Lonchura striata: one gene and its partners. The protein of the gene in region 3 interacts with the protein of the main gene of each other region in a biochemical or structural test. Links are inferred from orthologs where the notes say so. Each region holds a gene or a part of one and is shown on either strand. Other genes may lie near its edges.

Region 1 (7,863 bases), on a different chromosome or scaffold from region 3:
ATTTCTGTGGGAAGCAGAATGTCTTGACTGTGTGATTATTTTAGCTGCTGTGTAGATAAAAGAAAAACATGAGCAGTGAAATGTTGAAAAGGTTTTGATATTATTATATGACTTCTCAACAATTTTCTTTTTTTTTTTTTTCCTTGCTCCTTTGACTGGAAATAGTGATTAGATCAATTTCCCTAAGAGTAAAGCAGTTGCCTGTTCAAGGCATAGTTTCTGTTTTAAGTGACAGATTTCTCTTTTCCGAGCCAGTGAAACTTCTCCTCTGCTCTAATGACATTTACAACCATCCTACTCATTGCTGACATTCCCTGCAGACCTATTGAAAACCTGATGACACTCCTGACCATGTTTTCTCCAGCTTTTCTGTGTCATTTTAGTTCTTGTGTCCAGGTTTCTGTCCTTATTCATAACACACACAGCTGCCACTGCATTTTTTACTTCTTCCTTCCCCAAGGTCTCTTTTTTTCAAAGGCTGAGATGGATGCATTTCTCCACTCAGCCACTCTTAAAGCTCTTTTCTGAGGGATGTAGCCTACCTGAACTCGGCAGAACATGTGTGTGACCTTAATTGTAGGAGCAGTCAGCAGTTTCTGACTTCAGGAGAGTTTTGTAAGTAAACAGCTGAAAAATTTCACTCTGGACACTGGAGCCTTTGGCTCAGACTGGAGGGGTGCATCACTCACAAGGCACTTTGAAATGTGCAGGATGGACGCTTCTCTCCTTGGTGTGGATAACTCACACATTTTTATTTTCCAGTGGTGTTAATCTGGCACCCCCTGGAGGATGCATATTTCAAAACACTCAAAGGAAAGAAATACTTAAAAAACCCCCTTTGATGCAATCAGTTCTGCATCCAGACTGTAAATTTTCCCAATTTTCTATGGATTCTTTGCAGAAATACTAATGTAATTTTTCTGTAGGTAGGCTTTCATCCTGAGATAATATATACAATTTTTCTTCCTTAGACTAAACATGTCAATCTAAGATTTACTGATGAAGTGCTGGAGGATTTCTCAAACTTCATGAATTATGTGATCAAAAAGAAAACTTGGACTGTCACCTATAAATGACAAGAAGAACCATTAAAAAGGTCCGTGTGAATCTGGTACAAGAAAAGTGAGAGTAAGTGTATGTCCATATGCTTGTGGCTAGTGTGGGCTCCTGTCAGGTAAGATGGGGGAGGACTTTACTGTAGGGCTGAGCCTGGATCTGCAAAAAACCCCAAACCCATGTCTTGGAAAACCTAAGGCTATCAGGAATAGTTCCATTTATCAAATCAAGTGGAATTGGTTTCTTTATTAGACAGAAGAGACCATCTTCTGGGACTTGCAAGCTGCCTACAGAGTTTGATGTTTGGAAACTAAAAAGTGCCAAAGGCAAGAATTTGAACTGCTTTCCCCCAACAGCCTGGGGAGAAAAAGGGAGTAAATAATGCCAAAAGATGTATTTGTATTGCTTTAAATTCCATTTGAATGTAACAAAATAGTTGTTAGCAATTTCTAAGTGTCAATAAGGTTTGTTTTAAATATTATTATTATTATTATTATTACTACTACTATTACTATTACTATTACTATTACTATTACTATTACTATTACTATTACTATTACTATTACTATTACTATTATTATCTCTCTTTGGGAAATACCTGGCTGCATTTACAGAGTGATTTCAAAGACAACTGGGAGTGTTGTTGATCAGTGAAGCTCACTGGGGAAGTGTGAACAACAGTTGCATTATTTTTGATCTCTGTTTACCAGTTGGGCACAGAGCAGCCTCTCCTCATTGCTCCTTCTCCCCCAGCAACAAAGCTCAGCCATGGTCCCTGCAGAGAGGATCTTCTCCCTGGGAACTGCATTGTTTCATTAGCTCCCCTGTGCATGATTTTGGTGTGTTGGTTTTGTTTGCTTTCCTCTTAATTTCCCAGGGAGTCCTTCCTTTGACTTATTGCTGCTTAACTTTGTAATTAATGAGTAATTCCATACTGGTTTTCCCCACTCTGAAAGTGTCCTAAACACTAGGAGTGGTCAGTAATGGATGTCTAGAAAAGGACATAAGTGGCACTTTTCTTTCCTTTTCATGTGATGTCTCTGGCTGCCTTCCTGTCTCTACCACATAATAAGGAAGAAATCTGAGGCTGGTTGCCTGACTAGGAAAACCCCTCATGTTGTCCAAGTTGCTTTTTCCTGATCTGATATTAATAATTTGATATTGCTTTCTCCAGAAGTGAAAAAAAAAAAAAAAAAAAAATTGAGGAGAAAATTAAATAGCACCAGTTTTTCTGAATGTTATCTACTGGGTGATAGAGAGCTTCAAACATTAATGCAATACAAATGCATTTGAACATTTACAATAGGATTTGAGTAGCTGCCTTCAGGTCCTTTTCAACTGAACTCATTTTTATATTGTACTTCATAAGGATGGCCTAAATTTCTTTTGCTAGAACTAGTATCAGAGGTGACAGTTTCTAGCTTGTACCCCTCCATCCACGATGGGGTATTTTCAAACTGCTGGTTTGTGTATCACTACTTGTGGGGAAAAAAGAAGTAATATTTATAGCTTCTTTTTCTGCTGGTATATGTATACCTACACAGTTCAGAGCCTGAAAACTAATTCCATCTAGAATGAGCTTGAATAAAGCTAGGAACAAAGAGGAGGGGGAGGTATATTGCTAAACAAACATTAACTGAGGGAACAGATGGGAAAGGTGATCTCTAGAAAGAGATCCTCTCCATTTTGCCCAGCTTTGGAGGGTGACAAGTACAAAATGGGGCTGTTGAGAGATGGATTACTTGGAATGTGGGATAAAACTACCCTGAGCTGGGAGAGAAATGTGGTGATTGTACATGGAGAGCAGTTACAGCAGTCAACTGCACACAGCAGATCAGTACATCTCTAATTATTATTTGTCTGGCTGGCTAAGCAGTGCAGCATTTAAAACCTAATTTGTTGTATAATTTAATTTTAATTGAGTCTCCTATCCACACAGGACTCGTTAAGCTAGCTGTATGTTTCACTTGCTGTCTTTTTACATGGATACTATGGGAGAGCTGCAGGAGCTGAACCAATCGTGTCCTCGCTCTGTGCTATCGCCGAGGTGCAGTAATTCCTTGCTATGATTGCAGAGGGATCTCTTGGCAGGAATATTTGGAAAATACGTTTTCTCAGTGCCACAATATAACAAAACAACTTCCTCTCTCAGCTAATGCTACAGTTTACACAAAAGATTTGGTCGTTGGGTTGTTAGTTGCATCTCCCATGTGCTGGTATTTTCCTCTGCCACTCAGAGATAACAATTACCAGTCACTGTGAGCAGTAATAAAAATGAAGCACCATGACAATGCTTTTGAGTGATTGTAACTTCCATTGATGTGCTTCTCTTCAAATGTATAAATGGCTTTATTCCTCAGCGAGGACAATGTTGAAAGCAAGCAGGGTTTTACAGACAAATCCTTTTGGAGGAATGTAGACATTCAGGTCTCAAAGAACTATTTTTTCATACTATTATTACTAAGGGAAGAGTTATAGACTAAGGTCAGTAACACAAAGCTCTTAAGTACATTCATCAATTTTGACTCGTGTTCTTATATATTTTTCTCACCTGGGGCTCATGTGATTGGGACTGTGGAACAATACTGTGTTGGGTATCAGTTAAAACTGCAGATCCAAACACGGCTTGGATCTGCAGTTTTTAAATAATTTTGCTTCTATCAGTGGTCCTGTCCAGATGTTTTGCACAGGCTGGTGTTACTGTGAGGTTTCTGTGGCCGAGGGGATCTGCAGGGCTTCCAGGAAAGGTAAAAAAGCAAAATCTGAGAGCTCAAGCCTGTGAACCAAGTGAGAGTATCAAGACCAAGAACTGCAAGTGGGTTTGTTTTTTAATGTTTTATTTCCATATTTTTTGTCTTCTCACTTAATTCAAACTTCAAAATAATTTAAGTGAAGGGGGAAAAAGGAGTCACTGCCTTTGTATAATTTAAGAAGTAGGGACATTCAGGATAGTTCAGCTTCTTGCTCTTGTTTTGATGAACATAAAACTGTTTGAAGTCCTTCAGATGAATAAGATAAAGAGATCTGTCACTAGAAGGATGCTGCGCAAAAGGACCACAATTCATTTGGCTAGAAAGCCACTTTATACGGGGTGCTAATTGGCGTAAAAAAACCCATGGTGCACGTGGTACAAATGTCCCAGGAAACAGAAATGAAAGCGGTATAAACGAGCGGATCAACAAGTGCACAGCAGGGACACTGTTTTACACAAAGGACCACCAAATGGAGGACATGGAAACGAGGTGTCCGATGCGATAACAGAGACAAGTGATAAGTCTCAAGGTTCGGGAAGCTCTTGTCCCGATAATGCCGGGGTTTACTTTGTAAGAGTCTCCTGAGTGAAACTGGGGGTGCCCCTCCGTGCGTGACCCCTCCACCAGCGGACACCGATCCTGCCTCAGTCCGAGCTGGCTTTTTTAAAGCCTGGCCCTAGAACAGCAGGGTGTGTTCTTTATTTAGCCGCTGCTGCTTGCTCAACAGCCAAGAGTTAAACTACGACAATTTTTCAGGGGATCCAGAGACCGCTGAAACGACCTCAGCTGGCCCCCGGCACGCACGGTCGCGGTGAGGCGACGGATTTGCCCGTAACAAAGATGGCGTCGCGCAGCCTGTCCCGCCAACACCCAGCATGCCTGCCCACACACAAGATGGCCGCCAAGGCGTCACCGCCGCCTCAGCCCCTCCACAGCCCGGGTTTTCCCTACGGGCGGCGCGCGGCGCGGCCTCACCGGAAGCGGCGGCGCTCCGGCCGGCGCGGCGCGGCTCGGTGGCGGGCGGCGGAAGGGCCGCCCCGCGCGGCGCGCCGGCCAATGGGCGCGCGGGCCCGCCCCGGCCGCACCAGCTGGAGGGGCGATGTCTGTTGACAGGAGCCGCCCGGGCCGCGGCGCTGCGGTGAGGGGCCGGGCCGGGCCGGGCAGCGGGGCCGCCGCACCCCGGCCCCGCCGGCCGCGCCAGGGAAGGCAGCGGACGATGGCGGCTCCCCGCTGTCTCCCCCGCTCGGTCCGCTCGGGCGGGGAGAGGCGCGGGGAAGGGGCCGGGCTGGCTGCGGGGGGCCGAGGCGCAGGGAGGGAGGGAGGGTTTGCGGCGCCGCACAAAAGGGAGCGGCGGGGCCGGGGCAGCCGCGGGCATGCGGGAGGGATGCGGGGTAGCGGGGGTGCCGGGCAGCGCTGTGCCGGCCCGGGTGCCGTGTGGTGACGGGGTTTGCGCTCGCTTTGTTTGTTTGTGTCAGATGTGAATCCAAATGGAGCGGTCGGAAGGAGGCGAGCAGAGCCAGCAGCAGCCGCAGCCCTGGGGGAAGCTGATCCGGCTGGGTGCCGATGAGGCGGAGCCGCACGTCCTGCTGCTGAAAAGAGAATGGACCATTGGGCGCAAGAAAGGTGGGACGGGGACGCGCTGCGCTGGCCTGGGGCGGTGCTCGGGGGACAGCGGCCATCCCCCTGCTGGCCTTTACAGCTTGGAAGCGGACTGAAACTAGTTGGGTTTGACTGAAACTAGTTGGGTTTGGTGCTTTCAGCTGTTGGAGGTGCTTGCCAGGCCCCCCGCCCCCTATTCCCAATTTACCTCTTAGCTGTGTGAATATGTAGTTTTATGCTGACCTTTTGTTTTCAGTAACTTGTGGCACGTTTCGAAGTCAGTGTCCCTTTTAGGTAGTCTGTGGCAGTTTGTATAAATAAGGAAACCCCCACCCCCTATTCCCAATTTACCTCTTAGCTGTGTGAATATGTAGTTTTATGCTGACCTTTTGTTTTCAGTAACTTGTGGCACGTTTCGAAGTCAGTGTCCCTTTTAGGTAGTCTGTGGCAGCTTGTATAAATAAGGAAACCCGGTTGTTGATTCAGAAGTTTCTGTGTTTCAGGTTTGTTTGTGTTCTAGTTTCATTTCTGTGGTTAAAATAAATTGGAAATGCAATGCAAAATGCTTCGGCTTCACAGAGAAGAAAACACCCACATAAAAGCCCTTAATTCTTCTGGCCATATAAAGACTGCCAACAAGTACTGAAAGTTCTCTGAGAGTCGATTTGAAAGCTTTTTTCCCAGAGTCTAGGACTTGTACTACTTCCCTTTATTTTAAAGGATTTCATGCTCACTGTATTTGAAAGAAGGACTGAAGTTTTTAAACTTCCTTTTATGCTGCCTTGACAGTGCTGATTTTCTTTTTCCTGTTTGTCAGTTCAAGCTGTTTGGCTGATCAGTCACTTCCTGTAAATAGCTGTGAACAAACACCAGATGCTATAGCTCTATGACAAAGGCAGACAGTGTCTTGCAGGAAAAATGTTTTGCAAATTTACAGTTGGTGGTATCTATTGAGATTGCTTATCATTTATCTGTGGGTAAATTCTTCAAGCTGACGTCTGTTTGAGGGTTGTCTGGCAGAAAATAAAAGGTGAAATCTTTCTTGTTTAGTTGCTTTCATAGCTGTTTGCTAATGGCTTAGTTGAATGGATGGTTACTAGAATACCAAATTGTGATTTATAAGCAATATGAGGTAGTGCCTGCTGCTTTCCTGCTGGATCTGTTGTTGAGATCAGTTCACCCACAGTGTGAATAGGTAGAGGGGAATCATGATTGTTAGTTATAACTTTGGTGTAAGCTAGTGCTTTGAGTCCTTTGTGAGAGATCAGTGGAGAACCTTGAGTGTTGCTTTAAATATTCAATGTTAAAGTGAGGTAAAAAGACAAGATTTTCTCAGAGCCCTTGAGTTGTAGGTAGGAAGGTTTTTATTGCATTGTCATTACACTTCTCCTGTGTATCCCTAAATCTTAGTCCTGGATTTGTAATTCTCTTCAGCTTTATTAACATAATAATGTCAAGAGAGATGAGGAAAACTTTCCTGTTTAAAAAACAAACAAATGACTGTAAGATAGAACAGTGATAATAATTTTTACATATTTTTCTTTTAACAATTATTGGTTCCTACCACTTCCCCCCAATACACCAGAATAGAACAGAAGTTAAATTCAATGAAACAGCATTACTATGATGTGGGAAAAGAGCTGAGTGCTGTGGCATGTGCCTTTAGGAGTTAAATTGAGCACTTCAGATATGTGTGGATATTTCTGTAGCGCTCTAGAAAAGAGTTATTGTGATTTGATTTCCATCTTTGAGGGCTAGGACTGGGGGGAAAAAGGAATTGAAACATCTTCACATGGTTGAAATGGTTATATCAGCACATGGGGCTATCTCACCACTTGTATTTATGTGTTTCACACTGGGCTGTGTTGCTGCCTGTGTGACAGCAGAAGTTTTGAACTATTGCAGATGTACATGAGTCAGTTTATGTTGCATTTATAGCCATGTAGAATGCTGATCTGACTGTGTAATGTGTATTTTTAAGCTTGCTGGAAAATCTTTCTTTTTAAGGCTGTGACTTATCTTTCCCTGGCAACAAGTTGGTGTCTGGAGATCACTGTAAAATCATAGTGGATGAAGAGTCTGGTCAAGTGTCATTGGAAGACACAAGGTTGGTTTCTCAGAATGTTTTTGGAGGTACTGTTGTCAAAAGCTCAGCAGGTATTTAATACTAACCCTGAGATACCATAATAGCATATTTAATTGCCTTCTGGGTTGAAACAGGGATTCGACATGATATCCTTCAAAACCTCAAATGCGAAACTTTCCTCTTTATCTTTGTATATCATGGGCACATTCTGCTGACCTGCCAAAGTGCCCCTGATGGCAGCTCTGCCCCCGCTTTGTTGTCATCTGCAAATGTCATTAGGTGTATTCCCTCTCCTCTTCAGGTTGTAATTAAAGATAGGTCCAGGATATCCAGGATAGACTCCTGCAGGGTTTACACTCCCAGAAGCTG
Region 2 (6,975 bases), about 15 Mb from region 3:
CTGAGACAAATACATGAGAATTTACAGCAGAAGAGCATGAGAGGAGCAGGAATAGGGGATAAATGTCAGGGAGTTACAGACTGGAGGTAACAGTGAAGGCTGGATGAGAAAGGTGAGGGACCAGATCCATTATTGTGCAGTTTCCCTATGTTATGATTAAAAAACGGGGCAGTTTTGAGGTGAAGAGAATGTACTGCTAGAAATGTTTTCTTCTTTATTAACTTAGATGCACTTTTTACACTTTATACTCTCTTCAATCAGGGTAAAACATTCTGTGAGCAGGGAGTGAAGCAGTACCCTCAATGTGCTTGGGTGTGCCTTTTTCTGCTGGTTTTATTTTTTCTTTAATTTGCACTAACAATCTTGCAGCAGAACAGCTAACAATAGCAGAAGCAGTGTTTGCAATTGATCTTTTTGCTACATCCTCTGTATTTAGGAATGCTCTTTACTCTGAGTTACACTTGTTGGAGGTTAGGATTTTTCTTTTTTTTTTGTTTCCCTTTTTCTCTCAAGGATTTTTCTCCCGTCTATTGCCTAAAAAATTATAATAATGGTACTTAAGAGAGACAAAACATGTAGCCAAGGGGGAGGGGGTGCACTCTTATAGGTGAGGAGTTTTTTTCCTTTGAAAGGGGGAGATTTTAGTGAGGGGCTGGGCTCAGCTCCTCGTTCTCTCGTTTTTGGCTTGGAGGGGAACGAGCATTGCTGCCCAGAGGATTCTTTCCAGTGTCTGGATTTGCCCCTTCCCCAGCCTACTTCTGTAAGCTCTCATGTGCTGCTGATACAATACATTTCATATCAAAAGGTCAAACACACCTTAGGGTGGGTTTTTTTTTTTGTTTTTTTTTTTTTTTTGTTTTTTTTTTATAATATAAAAATCATCTCTTCCAAAACAAAAAGTGCAAACTGAAACGATAATCAGCATATTTTTGACAGTGCAGTAGAACATTAAATTTATAAATATAAATTACAACTGAAGATTTAGTTGCCTTTAGAATTTTGCATAAAATTAATACAGTAAAATGCAAATTAAAAAAAAGACACCCGTAACTTTCTTTTGGAGAAGTTTTCATCATAAATTCATAATCAGTTCAAAATCAGTTTCACAACTGCTGAACGGTGTGACTGCTATTGGCAAAAGTTTTCTGAGTTGCAAGAATCAGCACTGGTTTATCATCTCTCAAGTTCTGCTTCCAAGATTTCTCCCCACGTGTCGACATCCATTGGATACATGCTTTTGTCTGGCAAACTGAATTGAGAAGGAATGTTGCTGTATTTCCCACTTAGCCATTCTTGCTTCACTTTGCTTTTCCAGTAGTTTCTCAACAGTGTAATCTGGTGGAAAAACATAGAGACAGATCTCAGAAAGGAACCAATTTAAAATGCAATCAATATTGCAAGATTATACTAGAAGAATAGTGCTGGAAAAGGGATTTGTAATGTGCCTTTGGGATTTGGAATGTGCCTTTGGATATCTAGACCTTAAGCCCAGGAAGGTGCAATGCTGCCGAGAAGCAGAACATGTTCCACTTCCAACTTTTCTGTTCCTGCCTCAATTCTTTAGTGGTCAAGATGAAAACCCAAACCAGGAATTCCTCTTACTCCTTAAAAAAGGCACCTTTCACTTTCTGTTTAGGTTGTGACCTTTCTTTGGTTTGGAGGCCGGCTGGGTTCTTTTCTTCTGCCAGCCTTTAAGGGCAAGAAAATGTAGACTGGGTGTGTTTGTAGATTGTATTTCAAATCCCCTCCAGATAAAACTGACAATCAGCACAGGGAGTTCTGAAAATTGCTGTGCTAGGGTAGCAAGATCTGTACACTGAAAGGGTAACCACTATCTGCTCATGGCTCTGCCTCATACTGCAGAAAATTTATTGAAATGTCAGAATCCAGTGGCTGCTTTTGTTTCTTTTGCGGCTGCTTCTCTCTTTTCACCCCTCAAACACACCAGCTTAAATAAGGTGGGAGATTACCCTATAGCTGGCCCAGAGTAACCTGTGGAACCAGTGACCTGGTCTACCTGATCAGGTTCTGATCTATCTCAGCTTCCAGGCTGGATTCATCAGTGAGAGATCATCCAGCAGGTTCTGAAGCTGCACCTGCTGCAAACTCCTCAGAGCAGTCTGCATCTGGGGCGATTTTCTAAAAAGTTTATAAAAACTCCTGCTCATTTCTGTTGCTATAGGACACGAGAAAGTACAACATGAGCCACTGCGATGGCAAGGTAAAAAAGAAGGTTTATTTTCTGACTCCAACTTTTATACTTTTTTAAAGGTGACAGTGGATTGGAGAGTGAATGGGCCACCTCTCCAAAGACATTGGACAAACTACTAGTATGTCAACTTCCTCTACTCTCACGAAGGAATGTAAAAGAATATGTTGTTTATAGAAAATGTGTGGGAAAGTTTTCTAACAGAATGTAAACTCAGAAGGCTTTAGAAAATTTTAAGAATCAGGGTGACACATTTCCTTTTCTAGTCCCTTTTTTTTTTTTTTTTTTTTTTCTTTTTTTTTTTTTTTCCTGAATGCGTCTCACTTGAGATGCATTGAGACAGCGCTATCCAGGATGCTTTTTCAGGAAGTCTTTCCTAACCAGCAGAAAATACAAAAGACAGAAAATACAACCAGAGAGCAGACGCTGCCTATCGGAGTTGAGTCCATTCTCCCTGCCTGCGGGAATGTGGCCTTTGCCCCGTGAAAGACGACTAATGCGAGGCGGGCAGGCTGTATCCCGGGTGGGAAAAGGGCCAGCCTTGCTTTATTCCCAGTATATTCATTCCCAGCTGTCCGCCTGCCGGGATGCGCTCCGGGATGCGCTCCGAGCCACGCTGCGCGCATCCCCCGCCACCACCCCGGGACGGGCGCGACAGGCTTGATGTCACTTCCTTGCACTTTTCCATTGGCCCTGGGCATCCTCGCCCGTGTCGCTGCCGGCGTGGGGCGGCCGGAGGCGTTCTTACCTTCCAGGAGTAGCCGTGCCCGCGGTCGCAGTCGATCTCCCGCTGGCAGACGGCGCGCACGGCCAGGCAGTGCTGCCGCCACAGCCGCTCGCTGCCCTCGATGAGGCGGTGCCAGCCCTTGCACGCCACGGAGGCGCGGCACAGGCTCTCCACGTCCAGCCCGCTGAAAATCCGGCAGCTGATCTCGGGAGGAAGGGCAGACACCAAGTCGCCCGCTCCTCCTCTTCCCCCCTCGGCGCTGCCGCGGTCCATCCCCGCGGCGGCGAGGCGTCACTGCGGCCCCTCCGAGCGCGGGCGGCCGCCGCCGGCAGCGCCGTGTGCCAGCCGCCCGCCTGCCGCCATGTCCCGGGGCGGGCGGGCCCGCGGGGCGCTGCCCCCGGCCCGAGGCTCCGCGCGTTCGGCTCCGCGGAGGCGGCGCCGCCGGGCGGCCCGGGGAACCGCGCGTCACGGGGCGGCCGCGCGTCATCAGCCGGCGGCGGCTCCCGCGGGGCTCGGCGGCGGCTCGGTGCCCGTCCCGGCGGGGCTCGGCGGCGGCTCGGTGTCCGTCCCGGTGGGGCTCGGCGGCGGCTCCGTGCCCGTCCCGGTGGTTCCCGCGGGGCTCGGCGGCGGCTCCGCGCCCGTCCCGGTGGCTCCTGTAGGGCTCGACAGCGGCTCCGTGCCCGTCCCGGTGGTTCCTGTGGGGCTCGGCAGCAGCTCCGTGCCCGTCCCGGCGGTTCCCGCGGGGCTCGGCGGCGGCTCCGTGCCCGTCCCGGCGGTCCCTGCCGCCCTCGGCAGCATCTCCGTGCCCGTCCCGGCGGGGCTCGGCAGCACCTCCGGCCCCATCCCGGCGGTTCCCGTGGGGCTCGGCAGCGGCTCCGGCCCCGTCTCGGTAGCTCCTGCGAAGCTCGGCGGCGGCTCCGTGCCCGTCCCGGCGGGGCTCGGCAGCACCTCCGTGCCTGTCCCGGCGGTTCCCGCGGGGCTCGGCAGCAGCTCCGTGCCCGTCCCGCTGGTCCCTGCCACCCTCGGCAGCAGCTCCGTGCCCGTCCCTGCCACCCTCGGCAGCAGCTCCGTGCCCGTCCCGCTGGTCCCTGCCACCCTCGGCAGCAGCTCCGTGCCCGTCCCGGCGGCTCCGGCAGCCTGGAGGTGAGGCCGGCCCGGCCCCGCTCAGGGGTTCCGAGGGCACCGCTGGAGCCCCGAGGCGGCTCCGGCGCGGGTGGAAGGGGCAGGGAGAGCTCGGCTCCAGCAGCGGGGATGTTTGGGAGTGGAGCATCTCTCGTGGGAGGAAAGGCTGGGGGAGCTGGGCCTGATCAGCTTCGGAAAGAGACAGCTGAGAGTGGACCTCATTCATCAGTATAAGTGTCTAAAAGTGCCAAAAGAATGGACCGGGCTGTGCCCACCGGTGCAGAACTATGGGACAGGAGGCAGTGGGCAGATACTGATGCACAGAAGTTCCACCTGGCTATAAGGAAGAACTTCTTTACTGTGCAGTGGCTGCACGTGGAACAGATTGCCCAGAGAGGCTGAGGAGTGGGAATATCTCTCAGTGGGATACTCCAGAACCATCTGGATGCCATCCCGTGCCATGTGTTCTGGGATTACCCTTCTTGAGCAGGGAGCTGGGGCTGGATGTCCCGCTGTGGTTCTGCTGAACCTCGCCCATCCTGGAGCTTTGTGAGACCCTGCAGAGCTGGAGGAATAAGGCAGAGCTCAGCCTTTGGTGCTTCTCTTCTCAGGGTGACAAAGAGAAAGTTCAGCTGGTCAGTGTGTGCTCTCTGCAGTACAGCAAGTTCTGGAAGGGTTGGTGTCAGAACTCAAAATGTCCCTCAGACATTTCAGGAGGTTCCAGGACCAGGTCAGAAGCATTTGAGACCCTGGCAGGCAGCTGCAAACAGCTGTGATTTTGGGTTTGAGCTGTGGAACAGTTTACCAGCCTGGCAGGAAGAACAAGAAGTCACAAAAGTTTAGATATTAGAGTAGAAGTAGTTACAAAGTAGAGGGAAGAATTTTTGCGTGCTGTACAGGGGGGTTTCTGTTTTGTACATGGGGGTCAGAGGTTTTAAGATGGAGGGATTTGGGCCTGCCCTGTCCTCCCTCTTTCTTCTTCCTTACCTCCATGTTCTTGGTGATGTTGGCACTCACAGATTGGTTTAGAGTAGAAAAGCACCATTTAATACAGGTAATAGGCATTGGGGAAAACTGTGAACATGTAACATGTAATGTACCATATAAAAGATAGAATATCACCATTTAATATAGGTAATAGGCATTGGGGAAGAACTGTAAACATGTAACACGTAATGTCCCATATAAAAGACAGCAGCAGCCCTGGGTGGGAGAGAAGAAGCAGTCGGGAGTCAGAGAGGATGTCAGGGTGTGTGTGTGCCTCTGCCTGAGCTGTGAGCAAACCACAGCAGCCCAAGGAGAAAATCTTTTAGATAACTTGCAATAAACTACCATGAGACCAAACAACAAGAAACTGCTGAGCCTCTCTTTGGAAGCACGGGTTGGAGGAGAAGATTTTTTCACCACACAAAGCCACCCCGTGACTTAGGGTGGTCTTCAGCAGGTTGGCAGAGACACCCCAGTGCTTCTCTGCAGGCAATACTGCACCAATTAGACTCGTTTTCCCCTGATCTTTTGTGCTGGTGCATTGAGTAGTGTAAGGGCAACGTGTTGAAAGAAAAACAGTTACAGTTTGGGTGTGCTTTCATAACCTAAAAAGCTTTTTAGACGTAGTGGCTCTGAACTGAGGCTTTTGAGACTAGCACCGGTGTATCTAGTGTCTCCTCGATAGCCTGTATGGAGAACTTGCTTGATTCATTGGGCATCTGGTCCTGAAATCCTAAAATCGTTGCCTGACTTTTAGGATTGGATCAGATTTTGGGGAGTTGTGAAGATTTACCATAAAGCAAATTCTGAGATGCAGTTTCAGCTTTCTCAAAGTTTTGTCATGGCAGCAACCAGTGTAAATTATGTACTTAAACCCCAAAACACCACAGTCGTGGTCGGCAGTTATTAGAGAGTCTTTTGGTCAAAACTTTAGGTGTGAGGTAAAAGGAAGGTGCATTTATTTCCTCTGTAAGCTGATGCTAAGAGGATGTTGATGGTCAGTTTCAAACTGCATTTGTTAATGGCAAACATTCAGACCAACTTTTGTGTTTGAGTCAAAAGTGCATGTTTATATTTGCAGCGTGTGAGTAGATAAAATCGTTTTTTGTTTTGTCAGAAAAAAATCAGGAGGCTGATGCAGAAGCACCAACTGTTCATGCTGTTGAGATGTCCTGTATTCCATTGTTAATGGAACCAGCATGTTCCAGCTCTGAGGTAGAGGGAGCCGCAAAAATGAGGAATAATGATGCTGCCTCCAGATTTTTGGTGGGTGTTTAAGTTTTTAATGAAGTTTAATATTTGTAAGCATGTGTTGGAAGTTAAGGAGGTGTTATGTTCTCTATACAAATGAAATGTCAGCCTTTGTTGTGGTTGCGATCCTGGGGGTGGACTTGCTCAGGAAATCCAAAAGGATAGTGTTGTTTTCAGTAAATAATGAATGTGACTCAGAGATTTAGAATCTGATTACTTTCTGGAGAAATAAATTGTAGCAATGCAAAAAAGACTTTTATGTTTGCAGGTTTTTGCCTTTTTTTTTCTTGGACAAATAGGCTTTTGTTAAACTTGCTCTTTCTGTTTTATATATGTAGGGAAACTAGAGCAAGGTGGTGGTAAAGCTCTTCTATGAATCCTTCAGTTTGTAGCCTTTTAGATATTTATTCCAAATATCTAAGAATATTCTGTTTTATTTTCTTTTGTTTTTACTGCACAAAGTTTCCTATAAATGTTGTTTTTCTGAGTGGATGGAAACTGCAAAAAAAAAGTAAAATACTTGAGCAATGGCCACCATACAAAAAGTAGGTTGTTACCCAGGCTGCTTTTGGAGGACATAACTGAGTGCAAACTGTGGTCTGGCTTCCCCCCACTCTTCTGTAACTGGATAAAGGCACTAAACAGTAAATGTTCTTTCAGGTTCCTCTGTCTGACGATA
Region 3 (7,986 bases):
TACTTTTCTTTATTCATTTTCAAGGACCCAAACTGGAACCATATGCAGACTCTCTAGCTGGTATCTTGTGATGCCCAATATGTATTTTGGCAGCTCTTCTGGGCCAGAAGATACCCAGACTGATGGCACAGGTAGGGAAGGTATCTGCCCCAGGGATGAGGCCATCTGCCCTGGGGTGCTCTAGTCAGGAGTCACAGCTTGGCTTCGAGCCTATGTGGAGACAACATGTATTTGGGATTACAACTTCAGATGAGGAAGCTGCCATCCTTAATTAAACTCATCCATAAGGTTGTAGCTTGGGATTGGCACATACAGATCTCTGAGCATGAACTTTCCAAATCTCTCTCCTTGTTTCTGCTCTTGAACATTTTCAGTGCTGCAGCTGGTGCCTCCTTCCAGGAGCAGAGCCTTTTACAAGTGGCATCCACACAGGCAGGATGATTAACAGCCCCACTGCACTACAAAGGGGAAAGATGATGCTTGGGAACACAGGTGGGAGAACAAGCTAACAGGCAGCATTGACACAAAAAAGGTAGCCAGGTAGCCCTTGAGGGAGTTTGCCATCATTTCTCACAAACTCTGCCAAAGGCTGACTGTGGCTGTGGGATTAGCTCAAGGTTTTGGAGACTCTGCTTTTCCCTTGGGTGTGATTTTTCATTCTTGTTGGCAGATAGCAGAAATCAAGAATGGACCACAGCTGCCCATGGCAGGTGCTCCTCTCTCTCCAGCTCACTGGGCTGAGCATTTCAAGTGAAGGACCCATGGTGAGACTGAAGATCATCTCTTCCCCAAGTTATGTCTCCTCACTGTCATCATAAATTAGGTATGGACTTTATCTCCAAAGCTCACTCTTTTATGTCCCTTTTAGCATTTGCAATTAAGAAAACTCTAAACAATTCCTTTCAGCATTACTTTGCCACAACATCTGCCTTTGGCTGTAGGCTCTAGTTTAATTAACTTGCCATGAGAACAAATCTCCTTTTACCCTTTTTTTAATTTCCCACTCTCTAATTTCATTGCATAATGATTTGTGTCTCAGTTGCCACATGGGGACAGTAAAACAGGGATAATGGCCTTTCCTGTGTGGGGATAATGTCAGGGTGAACAACCTCAAAGCCTGGCAAGCACCCAGGTACTAACTGTGGCAAGTACTGTGGCTGCACTTGGCTCTGCCACTGGCTTTGGAATATTATCTTCCCTAGACTCAGGATATGTAGTCACACCACTGAATTTACTGAAAGAAAGCTACTCAGTCATGTTCCCCGGCAGTCTGAAATGCTGTTGCTCCTCCTCCCTTGTCTCTTCCTACATCTACTTTCCTGGGCATCTGGAAAGCTGAAAAAGCAGGTTTATTTAAGGGACCTTTCTAAAGAACAGAGGAACCACCAGAGCTGCTTCACACAGACCTCTGTGCTGGTCTGTAGTGCAAAATTATTTAGGGGGACTGAGAAGGAGGCCAGCTCTGGGCACCTCTGCCCAGCAGGAGCACTCTAAATTCTAAATAAATTCTAAATAAAGCCAAAGAGATTGCATATGTTAATGATCACCCAGGAGAGAGGAACCATGGGAAGTTATTGAGCTATTCAAAACATATTTTAGATCCCCCAGACAGAACAATAAGCCCTCTGATTTATTCCATGGAAAGAAAAGACAGTAAGATGCTCAGTTAGATGGGGGTGCACGATCTCACATCCCTTTCCCACTGGTGTAGTCTCAGGGATGCCAGTGGGATGATCACTTGCATGAGCAAGAAGGCACAGCTGAGCCACAGCAGTGGCTGCCTGTAGCCTCCTGCATGGATGCAAACAGGGTCATCCCAGCCACACTGATTATGTGCAGTGGCATGAAAAAGTGGGTCATCAACACAGACAGGATAACCTAGCACTGAAGGGTGTTTTGTTACAAAACTCTCAAGCTATCAGATATCAAAACCAGATAATACAAAGTCTCCTGTAGCAACAAATCCAGGCTTGAGCAAGAACAGTTCTGACGCCCCTACAGGCTGTAAGTGATCGTCTTCCCTGTATATGTCCAACATTTTCTCACCCTTTGTAAGATGCTTAGCAGGGTGGAAATCTTGCAGGGAGATATCTCAAGCATGTGTGAGAAATGGAGCCCAAAGCAAGACAGTCTGGAAGATTCAGTGCTCAGGTTTCTGTCAGCACAATCTGAGGGGAAGCATTTGGTCCTGTGACACTGAAGAGATCAACTTATGTCTTCCTGGTGCCAGAATTTGACCTACTTCCCTCTGCCTTTCAGAGGAATCTAATGCAAAATTGCCCAGAAAAGAAAATGTAATTCTTTGTGGTGCCTTGAAGTCGCAAGCCAGGCACCTGAATGCTTGACACTGAATTTCACAGTCTGAGACACTCAAAATTGCCATAGCTGGGGTTTCTTGGACCATTCTTTTCTTCTTTACTGTTTCTGTGTGCTTTGCCTCTGGAGAACAGAAATTGCTGTTCTCCAGGGGCATTCTAGAGGTGAGATTGCAGAAACAGAAGCATTAAGAAAATTCCAAATAGCCTGACATTTATGATGAAGCCTGCACAGCAGACCTTTTGATTACACCCCCTTCCTCACCTACGCTCCTGTCCACAGCACAGTGAGCTGTGGGAGCCCAGGGGCATGTGTGAGATTTGGGCTGGATACTGGGAAATGCTGATCTGCAAGCACCAGCAGCCAGTTTGGCATCTGAGTGTCAGTATATGGAGATAATCAAAACACCTCTGAGGATAACCATGAGTTCTACTTTGGTCACAGAGAGGAAAAACAAATTGGTCTCACACATTGGTGCAGAACTCGTCATCCAACAGGATCCCAGAAGTAATCAGTCCACTGAGATGGGAATATTGTTAGAAAGGAATGTGAGGGATCACAAAGTTCTTTCTCTCTGGTAAAATGCAGCAGCTAAATATGAGGGCTCTGGAAAAACTGGATTTACTTAAAGGGATTATGATTCCCCAGAAAAGTGGCCTTGCAGATGCCACTTCTCTCAGCTTCTGCCAAAGCATTCCCTGTTTTACAAAACTTGGTATCCTCTGTGCTGTTTGTGTTAGCACTGACTCACTGGTCCCCCACGGCCCTGGGAGAGTGGAAGGGATGTCCTGTGATCCACATGTCACACTTGGGAAGACAGAGAGCAAGGCAGCTCTGTTGAGATCAATAGATTTATGGGACTAACATGATTTGGCAACTCTTGACACCACACATCAGGATGACACTTAGCCTACAGAGGAAATTACACCGCCATAAGAAGAACCATAACAATGTAATTCCTGCTATTTAGACGTTCCTGTTTCAAAGCAACACACTGGTTGTGGCCAGACAAACTACTGTGGAATTCTCAAGTAAGGCTGAAAGGTTAAGTGCCCGGAGCTTTGAGCCTGATCCTTTCAAGCAGAACCACCTACCCCTTTCAAAAAAGAAAATCCACTAAACCCCATTTGGAGTAGTGCTAATGTAGTATGTGCTCATAACTGGAAAAAAAACAAGGTTAAGCTTAGAACAGCCATTTGTTACAGTCACTTTCTTTGCTTGTTTTTATGCTTGCAAGCCTGTGAATGTCTGTGTACTGCTCTTCATGACATCTTACAGATCCTCTGCAAGTGTCTAGGCTGCCAGTTGCAGAGCAGCATTTTAGTGTTTGGACGGGGCTCCCTTTCTTAGGAGTGAAAGCCACCATGTCATCCAGATGAACTCTCCTGCGTTTTCTCCCCACTTTTCCGCAGGGTGGGACCAAACTGATCTGTCTCTGAACCACTGGTGTCTGGGCCAGGAACTCCTGGAAGGAGTGATCAGCAAGAGCGAAGATTCTGCTGTGTGGAGCACCCGGCTGTCTGTGTGCTCGCAGCACCATCTAGTGCGTCGCAGGGATTCCTTTTCGTCCTTCCCCAAATCCGCAGTGATGTACCAGGACCCAGCCTGTCCTCCCGGGCACGCCGATAGCCCCAGGCTGGTGGGGGGCTCGCACTGAAGTCAAACCCTGCGCAGCACACGTGTGAGAGCCTGGAGAAGGACAGCACAGGATACAAGGTGTGTCAGCATCTCAGGCTTGCTGAGATGCTGGTGTGCAGCTCTGAGTGACACCTGCAGGCTGCCTGAAGCCCACCCAGGGCTGCACATGCTGCTTCAGTTGAACCCTAATTTCAGAATCTCTATAAGATTAATGACAAATACTTGGGTTTGGAGTAACTTCAGTGTTCTCCTCTACCTTCCTCCAGGGAGGCTGCAGAGCTAATGCCCTCTGCTGATAGTAGAGGATAATTATCTACTGTGAGTAGGAAAAAAAAAAATCCTGATTTAATTTGTCAAAGCACTCTTCTTTGATTTCGTCAGCAGCCCCACTGTTATCCCCAGGGGCTGGAGGAAACAGTGACAGAACTGTCACGGTTGGAAGGGACCTTTGGAGATCACCAGTCCAGCCCCACGCCCAGGCAGGGTCACCGGGAGCAGGTGACACAGCAGCGGGTCCGGGGGGTTTTGGCTCTCTGCAGAGAAGAACTCCACGGCCCCCTGCGCGGCTGTTCCGGTGCTCTGTCACCCTCATGTACAGCCCTCCTTGCTCATGGCGGGGGGAGATTCTCGTGTTTACGGCCATCGCTCCTCGTCCTGTCGCTGGGCACCACCGGAACGCCCGCCTGGAAACGGCATCACGAGGCCAGTATTTGTCTGCGGGAGAGCTGCTGAGCTCAGGCTCCCCAAGAGGCGGGAGCCCGCTCGGTGTCGCTCGGGCGCGGGTGGGGGCGCGGGGTGGCGGCGCGGCCCGAACCCGCGGCCTCGAGGGCGCAGCACGGGACGCGCCGCCGCGCCCGCCTCCCATTGATACACCGGAGGAACCTCCAGACACGCGCAATCGATGCCCGAGAGGACGATCCGCCCGGTTGGTGAGGCATGGTACGGGCTCGGCGCTCGGCTGGCGCTGCCGCGGGCGGGGTCGCGGCGGGCGCGCGGGGCGGGGTCGCGGCGGGCGCGCGGCGCGGCGCGGCGCGGGGCGGGGCGCGGCGGCGGGAGCGGGAGCGGCGGCGATGGCGGAGCCGGCGGAGAAGCTGTACCGGGCCGAGTATGCCAAGAGCGGCCGCGCCTCCTGCAAGAAGTGCGGCGAGAGCATCGCCAAGGACTCGCTGCGCCTGGCGCTCATGGTGCAGGTACCGCGTGGCGGGGCCGCCGCGGGAGGGGGGCGGGCTGATCCGGCCGATCCGCTGGGTACCGCCGGCGGCGGGGCCAGCGCGGGATTCCGCTCCCTCCGCCCGCCGCGGTATCCCGGAGCCGCTCGGCCGCGCCTTTCGCTGCTGCGGGGGCGAGCGCAGCCTATTTTTAACAGAGGCGCAGCGTGTCCGCAGCAGCGCCGGTGCCCGGGGCAGCCCTGCCCGCAGCGCTCCCGGGCGGGGGGAGCCGCTTCCCCCGCTCCCGCGGGCTGCAGTGGCGGCTGAGCCGAAGCGGTGCAAAGGTCACCGTTCGTGGCCGTGGCGGGGCCGGGGGGCGGCCCGCGGGCGCGCACAGAGGCGCTTTGTTGCCGTCCGGGGGCGAGCCGAGCTCCGCGGCTCGGCTTTTCTCCGAGGAAAGCCCCGGGAAGCGTCTGCGGCTCGCAGCGCTCGGTGTCGGCGCCGGGGAATCCCCGCTCGGTGCGCGCTTTGCCTACGAGACAGAGGAACTGCGGCCCGGCAGCTGTGAGAGGTGTGGGGCAGCCCCCGGGGCCGCAGCATCAGCGGCCGGGCCCGGGGCTCTCGCTGGGCTGGCTGGCACATGGCAGGCGTGAGACCGCTGACCGCAATTGGCGAACGGGCTGCGGAGGCACTGTTTGCTCTCCGCCGCCCGCATGCTATTATTTGCCTTTTGGGGAAGAGACTGCTCGGCTTACTTTTGGAAGGAAGGGAAGAGCCCTGTCCTGTTGGGGGCTGGGAGCTGTGCGCGGACCCGGCATCACAGCCTGCTGCGGGAGGATGCGGAGGGAATCGCCCTCCGCACGGGAGGCTCACGCCGCTGTCCGGGGAGGGGGGACTCTGTCCCGGTGGCTGCATCAGGGCAGAGGGGAGGGTGCGCCTGCAGCGTGCTGGGGGCGGGCTGAGTTAGGGGGTGTTGCTGTGAAAGGTTAGCAAAGGCATACTTGTGTGCCTGCAGAAGGCGAGCAAGGACGTGGCAGCGCAAAGCCCTGCGGATGGAGGGATGGGTGGGTGGATGGATGGATGCTGTGGCTCCCGGCCGCCCGAGGAGCCGGGTTTGGAGGATGTAGCTCGCTTGTGCCTCTGGGAGAGGCTCCGCTTGTACGGGGCGGGGAGGAAGGGCCCGGTCCCTCCTCGCCCGCGCTGCCGGGCGGGGCTGGCAGGTCTGTCGGGGTTGGAGGCAAAGCTGCTGTCCCGGAGGGGAAATACCTGCCTCTGCCTTTGTTCCCCAGATCCTCCTCCCCTTGGGGAAGATGCGGGACCGTGCGGTGCCAAGCTGCAGCGTTTGCTCGCACGTGGTCCTGCTGCCTGTCCTTTTGTCTCCCCCGCTGCACTCAGCCTGGAGCTGCTCCTCCTCCCCTGCTCCGGCTGCTGCTCCTCGGCTTCCTCACGTTTGTTACTCCTTCCTGTCTTGCCCAGCAGTTGAGGCTGATGCGAGGCGGGTTGCCCTTCACCAGTACGGGGGGCAGGAGTTGTGTTCTGGTTCTCTAGGGTTCGGTTTATGGAGTGAGCCCCTGGGGACCGACATTCCTCACAGAGCCACTGCCTTTCATTTCCAGACATATCCCTAAAACTGGCGGTCTTGCACCAAACATTTGTATTTTTATTTATTTTCCCCATAACCTCTTGAATTTGCTTGCTCTTCCCTCTGCCCGTTCTTGTACCAGCAGATCACATCCTGCTGCTGAGCATCCTGCTGTAAATGCCTGAATTTCACCAGAGCAAACGGGTCCCCTGCTTTTTCCTCGGGAAATCCCCTGCAGAGCAGCCTCTGTGCCAGCGTCAGTGCATTGAGCTCTTCTGCAAATTGTGCTGAAGAAATTAAAGAGAGATACAGACCAAAGCCTTAGTTGTGTCTGCTGTAACTTCCCTTTTGTTTTGGTTCCTCAAGTGAAGAGCTGTGAATGACAGTGGGATTCTGGGTGCTAGGCAGGCGCCCAGGCCCTGCAGGACCAGCACAGCTTTGTCTTTTGCTTCCAGCTGGAACTGAGTGGTTTCTGTTATCTGAAAGTGCACTATGAAAGTGAATCGGTCTCTTTTTTCCTTAGTTTGTTTAGGAAACTATGGTCTAGAGATAGGTGAGCTGAGAGATGTAGTTTAAACAAGGCCCAGCTTGCCTAGAGGTTTCATTTTCCACACAGAGAAGAGTCTGAAACTCCATGTTGAGGAGATTACTCACTGCTTGTATTGTTGTCTTAAAGATTGAGCTAGCTCTGCTCACTTTTGTTCTCATCAGTGCCTTGTGCCCTCAAAGCCTTTGTGCTGGGAACAGCCCTGAGTCCTCCTGCAAAACTCTAGACAAAACCCAGAGGTGTCCACATTGCAGTGCCAAAATCACATGTGACAACTTAGAGAGACATTGAGAGCGACTGCAGGGTGGCTGCTGTGGTGCTGTGAGGGTAACTGGGTATCCAGTCCTGGCTTGTGGGAAGAGCCCATCTGGAAATAAAAATGTCCTCTTACAGTTTGGGTAGATGGTTGGTTGTAGTTTGGGCTCTCAGCTCTCCTGGCTCCATGCTGTGGTCTTCAAAGCCCTTTCCTTTTCCTTCCTCCTCATGCACAAAGCTCTGCTGTTGTTTTTGGGTTGGAGATCTCCTTCCTGTTAGTGAGTGACACGTGGAAGGCTTTCCTAGGTGGTTAGTTCTGTATCATCAGTAATAGTAATTGTACAGCACTGAGTATTGTCAGTACAGCAGCTGTTTGTGTGTGTTATTTGGCGCCAAACCACTGTACGGTTATTTTGCCTGGTGGGTAACTGGAGCAATGCCAAGATGGTACCTGCTGTGTCTGAGTTTTAAACACGTTGGGTACTTGCAAAACAAGTGCT
Region 4 (7,991 bases), on a different chromosome or scaffold from region 3:
AAAAAAAAAGGCAAAACACAAACAAAAGACTGATGCCTAATTCAGGTATGTTCTAAAATTATATTTACAGTAATTAGTGTGACTAATAAATATAAATAATTGCATTTATTTGATAATGTTCAATGCTCTGTGCTGCTGTGCCACCACAGAGCTGTCAGACACCACCTGAGCCAGAGGGGAACCTGTCAGCACTGAAATCTTCACTCTAAGGGGTCTTTTTCCACTTGAAAAATCATGTTTCATCCTTAAAAATACCAAAAATACCTAACAGAGAGCTCAGTTGAGTGTGCTCCAGGTATTGGGATATGAAATATCAACCCAAAATCCTGGCTGGGCAGGCACCTTCTTGCACCACCTTCCTCTCCACAGCTTCTTGCACTGACCTCTCCCCATCCAAGGGAGAGATCCCTGGCCTGGGCAAGGCTGGTCCAGTGGGGAAGTCAGGATTAATATTATTTATCCATGTCTGAGCTTGGGGAAAAGGTGCTGCTGCCTCATCCTCCTCTTCCTCCTCCTTCTCTTTAGGACCATGGTTCTTTCCCCTTTCCAGGGAAAAAGGAGCAGGGGGCAGCAGGAGGAGGGCACGGGGTGAGGAGAGAGTGATCCCATGGGAAAACCCTGCTCAGGATGCCAAACCCAGCACCCAAAAAACTGAGAGCACCCAAAAAATGACAGCACCTGAAAACTGAGAGCACCCAAAAACTGAGAGCACCCAAAAACTGAGAGCAGGGTTTGCCTGCCCTGACCCCAGTGAACCCAGCCAGGTCCCTGCTGAGCCCCAGTGTCCCACGGGTCTGCTGCAGGGTGCTGAGAGGCAAAGGATGAGAGACACAAGCCTTTATATTAAATACTTATATAATTAAATATATATATGATGTGTAACACTTTAGCAAAAGCTAAACACACACCTGCCTGGCCTTCAAATGGAGGGTCTTTATTTCAGAAACCCTTCAGTTAAAAGGCTTTTTTATCCACTCCCCATAGAAGAGGAATTGAAAATCTTTGAACCGACTCAGCCTCATGTCAGAGCACATTTCCTGCACCTCGAGTACAAAGCACCTGTCATTTCTTTCCAGTCATTTCACATTTTGCACTTGCATAAATAAAATTTTAATTCTTGCTACAGCATGTAAGGCCTTTCCCAGCAGCCTGGGCAGTGAAATCCTCAACATTTTGGTTTGTCTGGGACCTCCTGCAAGATTCACACTCCAGATTAGGAGAGAGAATTTTTCCATTTTGCTGAGTACATTGTATTACCAGGCGGTATAAAACACTTCTCTAAGTGTAAGGAGGAGGTCAAATAACAACAATTAGATCTAATTTAACAATCTTCTAGTCTATTAAAATTCAGTCAATATGAAACATAAAGGAAATAAATAGCAGGAGTTACCTAAAATGCAAACGGCATCCGATCTTGTGGGTGCCATTATTTTTGAAAATAAATCTTGTATCAATATTCTGATTAACAGAAGCAAATGAGGTTTTCATTATGAAAACCTCAGCACACAGCCCTCCTTTAAGCCAAAATTTGACTCCCTGAAACTCAAGATTTTCATTAAGTGCCTGTCATGTCCTGCATGCTCTGAAATGCACGGCAAAACCAAAGGGAATTCAGTTTCAGGAGCTACTTAGCATTTAGCAGATGCTGGCCAGCAATGCAGAGGAGAGTCAGATCTATGTCACTATTGATAGCCCCATGAAAACATCAGTGATTACAAAAACAAAAGGTTCATTCGACTTTTTAATCACACTGCCCTCGGGCACTACTGTCAGATTCCCAAAACTGTAACAAAATGCACCAAATGATCTTTAAAATGTAAACACTGGAGCCAAGTTTACTGAAAAATCCAACTGCAGCCCTACTTATCCAACAGCCAGGCTATTCCATACCCCTCATTAAATCTCTGACATAATTAGAAAAGTGCAGAAACACACAATGCCACGAAGAAAGCAAATACCTCAGTCCTAAATCCGATAATACCTTGATCCCAAATCTGATAAAACAACACCGCAGAGTCCTCCCTGTCCGTGCTCTTTATGTAAAATTAGTTTCACTATCACAAATCGCTTAATTACCGTTACATTCTGCAATTAATCACAGTCATTGCCCTATTGGCAGATGCTGTCCAGAGAAACAAAACGTAGATAGACAGATTTATTCAACCTTATAAGTGACACAGCCACAAAAAACTCAACAAAGCCATTCTTAAAAAAAACCCCAAAAAACCCAAAGCCAACAAACCATGCACCGAGATCAACGTTATGCACCAAGAAGAGATTTTTATTGTCCAAAAAATTAAAAGATTAAAAAGAACACGCCCGTGAGATCTTCCCACCACCATTAAAATAACATTCAGAAAGGTCCCGAGTTTAAGGATACGAGTTTCTAGAAAAGCACATAATTAACACCTGCGTGAGAGAGAGAGAAACAAGAGCTGGTGCCTCTCCTTCCCATTTGTGTCCCCATCCGCAAGAGAAACATTTCAAAGTATCCAAAATTTAGTGCCCTTAGGAGCCCGGTTTTTCCTTCCAGTGCACACCCTCTCCCCTCATGGCAGAGCACAAACACATCCAAGTTGTCCGAGGGATACCTACAAGAAATTTCAGAAGCTCTCACAAAAGGGCTTCGTCTATGCAATCCACACCACTGAAGAGTGAATTTAAAAAACCCAATTTTTTTCCGAGTTTGAAGTTTTTAAGCCTTGCGGATGGTTGGAGTAGGAAAAAGGAAATTTACTAGGCAGTACAAAGGAAATCTTGTTGTCCTCTATTGTGGCAGTGGGGGTGTTGCCCAATTCTAACTTATCTAGGTTGATAAAGGAAACCAAAGAACGCGGCAGTGAGAAAAAAATTCCAGCAAAAAAAGGTACCCCCTCCTTACCTTAATAGTGCTTGCCATAATGTGATCAAGATTATTGATCGCTAATAATTGCTAATAATAATTATTGCTTCGCTCTGACCAGAAAGAAGTTTTGATGAGGTTGTTTAGAGCGGATGAGATTGTGCTAACTCTGGGAAATGAAGTCAGCCAATGGCAGGAAGAGGTTTCTATTGGTCCTGGCCACCGCAGCTCGAAGAAACAGGATATTTGGGAGTGAAGAGATAAGAGTCCTAAAACAATGTTGTTTTTCTTGATGATATGCGACTGAATTTTTTTTTTTTTAATTTTTTGGTTGTTTTTTTGGTGTTTTTTTAAACAAAAAAGTCAATTGCCCGTGGCCGCCTGGGCAGGTGTGATCTGATGTGCAGTAAGTGTGACAGGCCACTTCGAGGCAGGATGCAGATGTCAGATGAAATGGGCCAAATTCAGCAGTGGTTTGATGCAGGCTGTTCACTGGGGAATTGCTGATCCAGGGCCAAAGCCAGGCTGGGTAAAAATGGGTGTAACTCCAAATATGTTAATGAGGACTGGCCCTGCTTACTCCACATCTATATTTGTCCATGAACCTCATTCCTGCATTCCTGAGCTATTGACACTTTCCAGCCTATCTGATTTAGCACATTTTTTCCCTTAGAGAAGAAGCAGATAGGTTGGGGACAATAATTTCTTTTTGATGTCTCTTTCTTAGTGAGGAGAGGAAGTCACAAAATGACATAAAACTTCAAAAGCAGATGCCTGAATGACATAAGCAGTCCTAAATCTTCCATGTTCTTCCCTTAATTCACAGCTCTATCCATGAATGGAAATGAGATGGTTTCACTGGCAATTCCCTTCCTGCTTAGAGTGTGATGACTATTTTTTATTCAATGTTATATTTTTATTTGTTCTTTTGGAGCCCTTGGCAGTCGTGGGGCACCCCAAAATTTCCAGGTGTGCAGAAAAAACACTGTCCCTGTCCTAGGCTTTTGTATAAGAGACCAGAACTTTAAAAAAAAATATATGTAAGAAAGGCAAAGTGCTTCCACAGTACCAGCCAGGGTATTCCACTGAGGATTCAGTGCTGGCACAACCTTTTCACACTTAGGAGCCTCACAGATTTTTATGTTTTCATAAAAGATACAATTCCTGGTGTCAGGAGATTCTGAGCTTTCAGCCTGAAGAGAAAAGCTTGAAAATAGAACCCATAAAAAAGGGAGGAAAAATTAGAGCAAGTCAGAATTCATTCACTTTTTAAAAAACAACTTTATAAAGCTGGTCCTACTCTAACAGGTTTATAATTTCTCATTGCTCCCTGTGACAACACCTAACCATGGACAGGTTGCCTGGAAGATAATTCCAGTTGTAGTAAGGTCCTGACCTCTGACCAGGGACTCTGGTACAATAAAAAGAACAAGAAATAGTGAATGGCTCATTGCAGCATTATTTAGTGGAAGCAGATGACCTCACCCTCTCCCAACACTGCCTTTTCTTGCTTCTTAGGAAAAAAAAAAGGAAATGGGAGCGTTGTTCTGTAGCTGGTGGTGACTGCTGGCATTCAACACACAGTTTTTCTACACAAAGACAGCAGAAAGTCCCAGTTCACTTTTCCCCTCCTATCCTGAGCCAAGAAAGGTGAAATGCATTTTTCCGGAGGTGCACAAAGAGTCCTTCACTCATTTGTCCTGCAGGTGCTGCTCCATCTCCCCCAAAGCAGGGCAGAGCAAAGGCTCATCCACCCTCCCTGCTCGTGGGAACAGCCCTGCCAGATCCAGAAAATTCCCATTTCCAGGTGTCCCGTGGGGAGCACAGAGCTGGGAATCCCTGGATGCAGCAGTGACAAACAGAATCACCAAGGTGGGAAAAAGCTCCAAGATGGTCAAATCCAATCTTTGGGACACGGGATCAACTCCCTGCACAAGATCAGTTTGATTTTAGAGTTCACTTCAAGAAGCTCTGGATTCTTCCACTGTAAAGATTATTTTTCGTGGCTTCAGAGCAATCTGGAGGCAGCACTGCTATACAATATTTTATATTCTCCACTAGCTGGTTCATGTAGAAATGCAGTGTTGCACTGCTGAATGTGCTCTTGCAGTCTATATCCACCAAATTATGGCGCTCCTGCAGAGTAGGTAACTTTCCTATTTTCATTATGAACAGTATGAAAAGAAAGCAATTTATAGTAATTGTATTTCATGGGGATGTTGATTTCCTCCCTTTTCATCTCCAAACAATGAGCAAGACAGCCAAAAGATTAGAACCTTTCTCTTGAAATTTCAAAGCATTGTATAATGTTTCAGTTGGGTGACTTCCACTCCAGTTAAGCCCCTGATATTTTGGGCTTTTCCTCCAATATATCAAGAGGTTGCAAGTATCAGTTCCAGCTCCCCAGTGGAGAGGATCTAACAAATTCATCCACAAGCAGTTTTTAGTAATGATTCTTCTCCATCCCACCTCCATTTACACAAACCTCCTCTTGGTTTACACAAGGATTTTGGAAGCATAAGGAGCACCGCTGAGCTCTATTATTATTATATAAGTATTACAGAGCCCACGGCCCAGTAAGGATTTTGCCATTTTAATCTGGCACACATTTTGTGCCAAAGAATCCAGTGCAGTTTATTTGACTTTCAAACTAATACCCACAGGCAGATTTCTGAGTGCTTACGCTGAGGCTGATCCAATTGCAAGCAGAGCCTTGGTACTGTGAGGCAAGGAAAATATTGGGTTATCAAATCACCATCATCCAGTTGCAAGAGAAAAAAGAGAACAAACACTTCCATAATTTTTATCTTTTCTGATTTTTTTAAGGTTAAATAGAAAGAAAAAATGCTTTTGTTTTGTTAGGCAACTCTGTATTATTGTCTGAAACAACGCTCTGTGAGTTTGAAAAACTTGGTCATCAAACAGAACAAAAACAGGAAAAAAAATCCACACAAATCACCCAATGCTCCCCTCAAATTTCTCTCTGAAGCTTGTCACCCTAATTTGTCCTGCCTCCTTTGAGCTGGAATATTGTCCTACCTTCAGCCTGCACCTGGAAACCATGGAGCAGCAAAATTTCCCAACATGTGTTAACACTGAACATGTGCTTAAGTGTCTTGATCAAAGCAGGGCAGTTGCACATACTTTAGAGTTACAGCTGTGCTTAAACTCTTTCCTGAACACCCTTAAACTCTGCTTGAAGTGTTTTCTACCTTTAGGACTCAAGAGTTCCCTCTTAAGTGCAAGATCTTTTCAAGGAAGGATCCAATCTATGCTGATCTGAGCCTGCTTAAACCAACAGGGCCCTGGACAGACCTGAAGATTTGGTTTGATCATGCAAAAAAAAAAAAAAAAAATCAGACAGAGTTCTAAATGAAGAAGATGGAACTCCAAATAGAAAAGCTGCTTTGCTTGTTGCATCCTTTCTAGGATGTACTAGAAATATGCTCACTATGTGTGTACTCACCTAAACACGTAAAATGCATTTTACATGGGTTCAGATGAGTGACTTGTCACAAAGGCATGGAGTGACAGGAAACAGAGAATGGCTTCAAACTGAGAGCAGGTTTAGATGGGATGTTGGGAATTAGGAATTGTTCCCTGGCAGGGTGGGCAGGGGCTGGGATGGAATTCCCAGATTCCCCTGGATCCCTGGCAGTGCCCAAGGCCAGGCTGGACACTGGGGCTTGGAGCAGTCTGGGACAGTGGGAGGTGTCACTGCCCACAGCAGGGAGTTGAAATTACAAGATCTTTAAGATCCCTTCCAATCCAAACCATTCCAGGATTCCATGAAATATGAAGGAAATACATTGCAATATTCCCTGTGTAAATAGATCTGCAATCCTTCTTGCTGGGAGGTAAAGCAAGAACTCTGCTCTGGGCTAACACACTCTGCTGTGGTAATAAGGTGACCTTCATCCCTTGAACTGTACAAAAATCTTCGGGTAAATAGTTGGAAAACTGGAGACACATTCACCTTTATGTTGTGCTTGGTATGGTACATACCGTGTCTGCAGATGAGGGTATTAAAAGACAAGACAGCAGAGAAAAAAAAAAGAGTTTTGTTCCTCTCACCAACCTTCCACGTAAAAAGAAAAGAACACTCTCCTCAAGGTATAACCAGTCTACAAAGCAGAAAACTGAAGGCAGAATAAAAGAATTTGCACTGCAGCTTTTGGAAGCAGATTTTAAGAAGTCCAAGCAAATTACTGGTACTTCATGGCACATGAAGACACATGTAAAGGTCTCAATCCTCTCAAAAAAAATCAGCATTTTGCTCAAATAAAGCTCCCAACATCAGTTTGGCCCTGCCCAGTTTGCTGTGTGAAGGTCAAGTACACTCTTCAGCCAGGTTGTCTCCCTTTAATTCCCAGTTTTCCATGGGCTCTGATGAAAATATCAGTGAATCTGCTCACAGAGGGGTAAAATCTCCTCTCACCACAAAGAAAAGTCTCACAATCAGAGTTTTAACAGTGAAACAAATGTGTGCCCAAGAGAGAAAGGAATTCCAGTATGGGGCTGCAGGATCCTGGGAAAATTCCATCCTGGGAAAAAAGGGATCAAGCTCTGGGATGGAGGTCAGCTCCAGGAGGAAGGCACTTGAATTCCCCAAAATCCAAACACCACGTGGACATCACCAGCCCATAAAGGCACATCATTAAAATAATTATCACTACCTGATCACGGGGATGACACGACTTGCATCCCACAAAAAAATCTCCTCTGGCACTGCTCCCAAGCTTTTGTGCCTCTCCATTCCCTCCCTGGCAGCACAGAGGAGGGGCAGGGAATGTCCCCATGCCTTTCCCTGTTCCCTGCCCTGTGGGCAGCCCTGTGGTCACTAGATGGTGCTCCCTGCCCCTGAAAGGAGCATCCTCCACTCCAGGCAACGAACAGCTCTTTCCCAAGTCAGCACTGATGTCTTTCAGTAAAGAAAATGCTTTAAAAAAGGATTTTTTTCCTGCTGCCCTGGCACCCCCCATCACTCTGCACCCTGTGCTCAGGGCTGGTTGTCCTTAGTGCATTCCCACTTTTGCTTCCCTTTAACTGCTCCAAACCATGTGGACCATCAATCCCTCCATGACTTTTCCCCCGTCCTCACCTTCCCTCCTCTCACAATGAATTCACTCACCGGCAGAACTGAAAACAT

Evidence for each region.
Region 1: of the proteins of PARP1 (region 3) and CHFR, one has a biochemical effect on the other in vitro, tested with the Homo sapiens proteins (2 studies listed by BioGRID). The link is inferred for Lonchura striata from reciprocal best matches to the Homo sapiens genes PARP1 and CHFR.
Region 2: the proteins of PARP1 (region 3) and APLF form a complex in vitro, tested with the Homo sapiens proteins (3 studies listed by BioGRID and IntAct, with this or other methods). The link is inferred for Lonchura striata from reciprocal best matches to the Homo sapiens genes PARP1 and APLF.
Region 4: the proteins of PARP1 (region 3) and ERG form a complex in vitro, tested with the Homo sapiens proteins (2 studies listed by BioGRID and IntAct). The link is inferred for Lonchura striata from reciprocal best matches to the Homo sapiens genes PARP1 and ERG.

Annotation. Positions count from the first base shown.
Region 1 is NC_134620.1:8,516,174-8,524,036, reverse strand, and holds the start of CHFR (E3 ubiquitin-protein ligase CHFR), read left to right. Parts: upstream 1-4,847; 5' UTR 4,848-4,947; intron 4,948-5,284; 5' UTR 5,285-5,296; coding exon 5,297-5,432; intron 5,433-7,415; coding exon 7,416-7,515; intron 7,516-7,863. UniProt on the Homo sapiens protein: E3 ubiquitin-protein ligase that functions in the antephase checkpoint by actively delaying passage into mitosis in response to microtubule poisons.
Region 2 is NC_134605.1:3,027,580-3,034,554, forward strand, and holds the start of APLF (aprataxin and PNK-like factor), read left to right. Parts: upstream 1-3,963; 5' UTR 3,964-4,079; intron 4,080-6,162; 5' UTR 6,163-6,212; coding exon 6,213-6,311; intron 6,312-6,956; coding exon 6,957-6,975. Other genes in the region: FBXO48 (F-box only protein 48), read right to left, coding at 1,174-1,335, 2,958-3,209. UniProt on the Homo sapiens protein: Histone chaperone involved in single-strand and double-strand DNA break repair.
Region 3 is NC_134605.1:17,698,422-17,706,407, reverse strand, and holds the start of PARP1 (poly [ADP-ribose] polymerase 1), read left to right. Parts: upstream 1-4,981; 5' UTR 4,982-5,024; coding exon 5,025-5,144; intron 5,145-7,986. UniProt on the Homo sapiens protein: Poly-ADP-ribosyltransferase that mediates poly-ADP-ribosylation of proteins and plays a key role in DNA repair.
Region 4 is NC_134604.1:114,219,169-114,227,159, reverse strand, and holds the start of ERG (transcriptional regulator ERG), read right to left. Parts: upstream 3,011-7,991; 5' UTR 2,900-3,010; coding exon 2,882-2,899; intron 1-2,881. UniProt on the Homo sapiens protein: Transcriptional regulator. May participate in transcriptional regulation through the recruitment of SETDB1 histone methyltransferase and subsequent modification of local chromatin structure.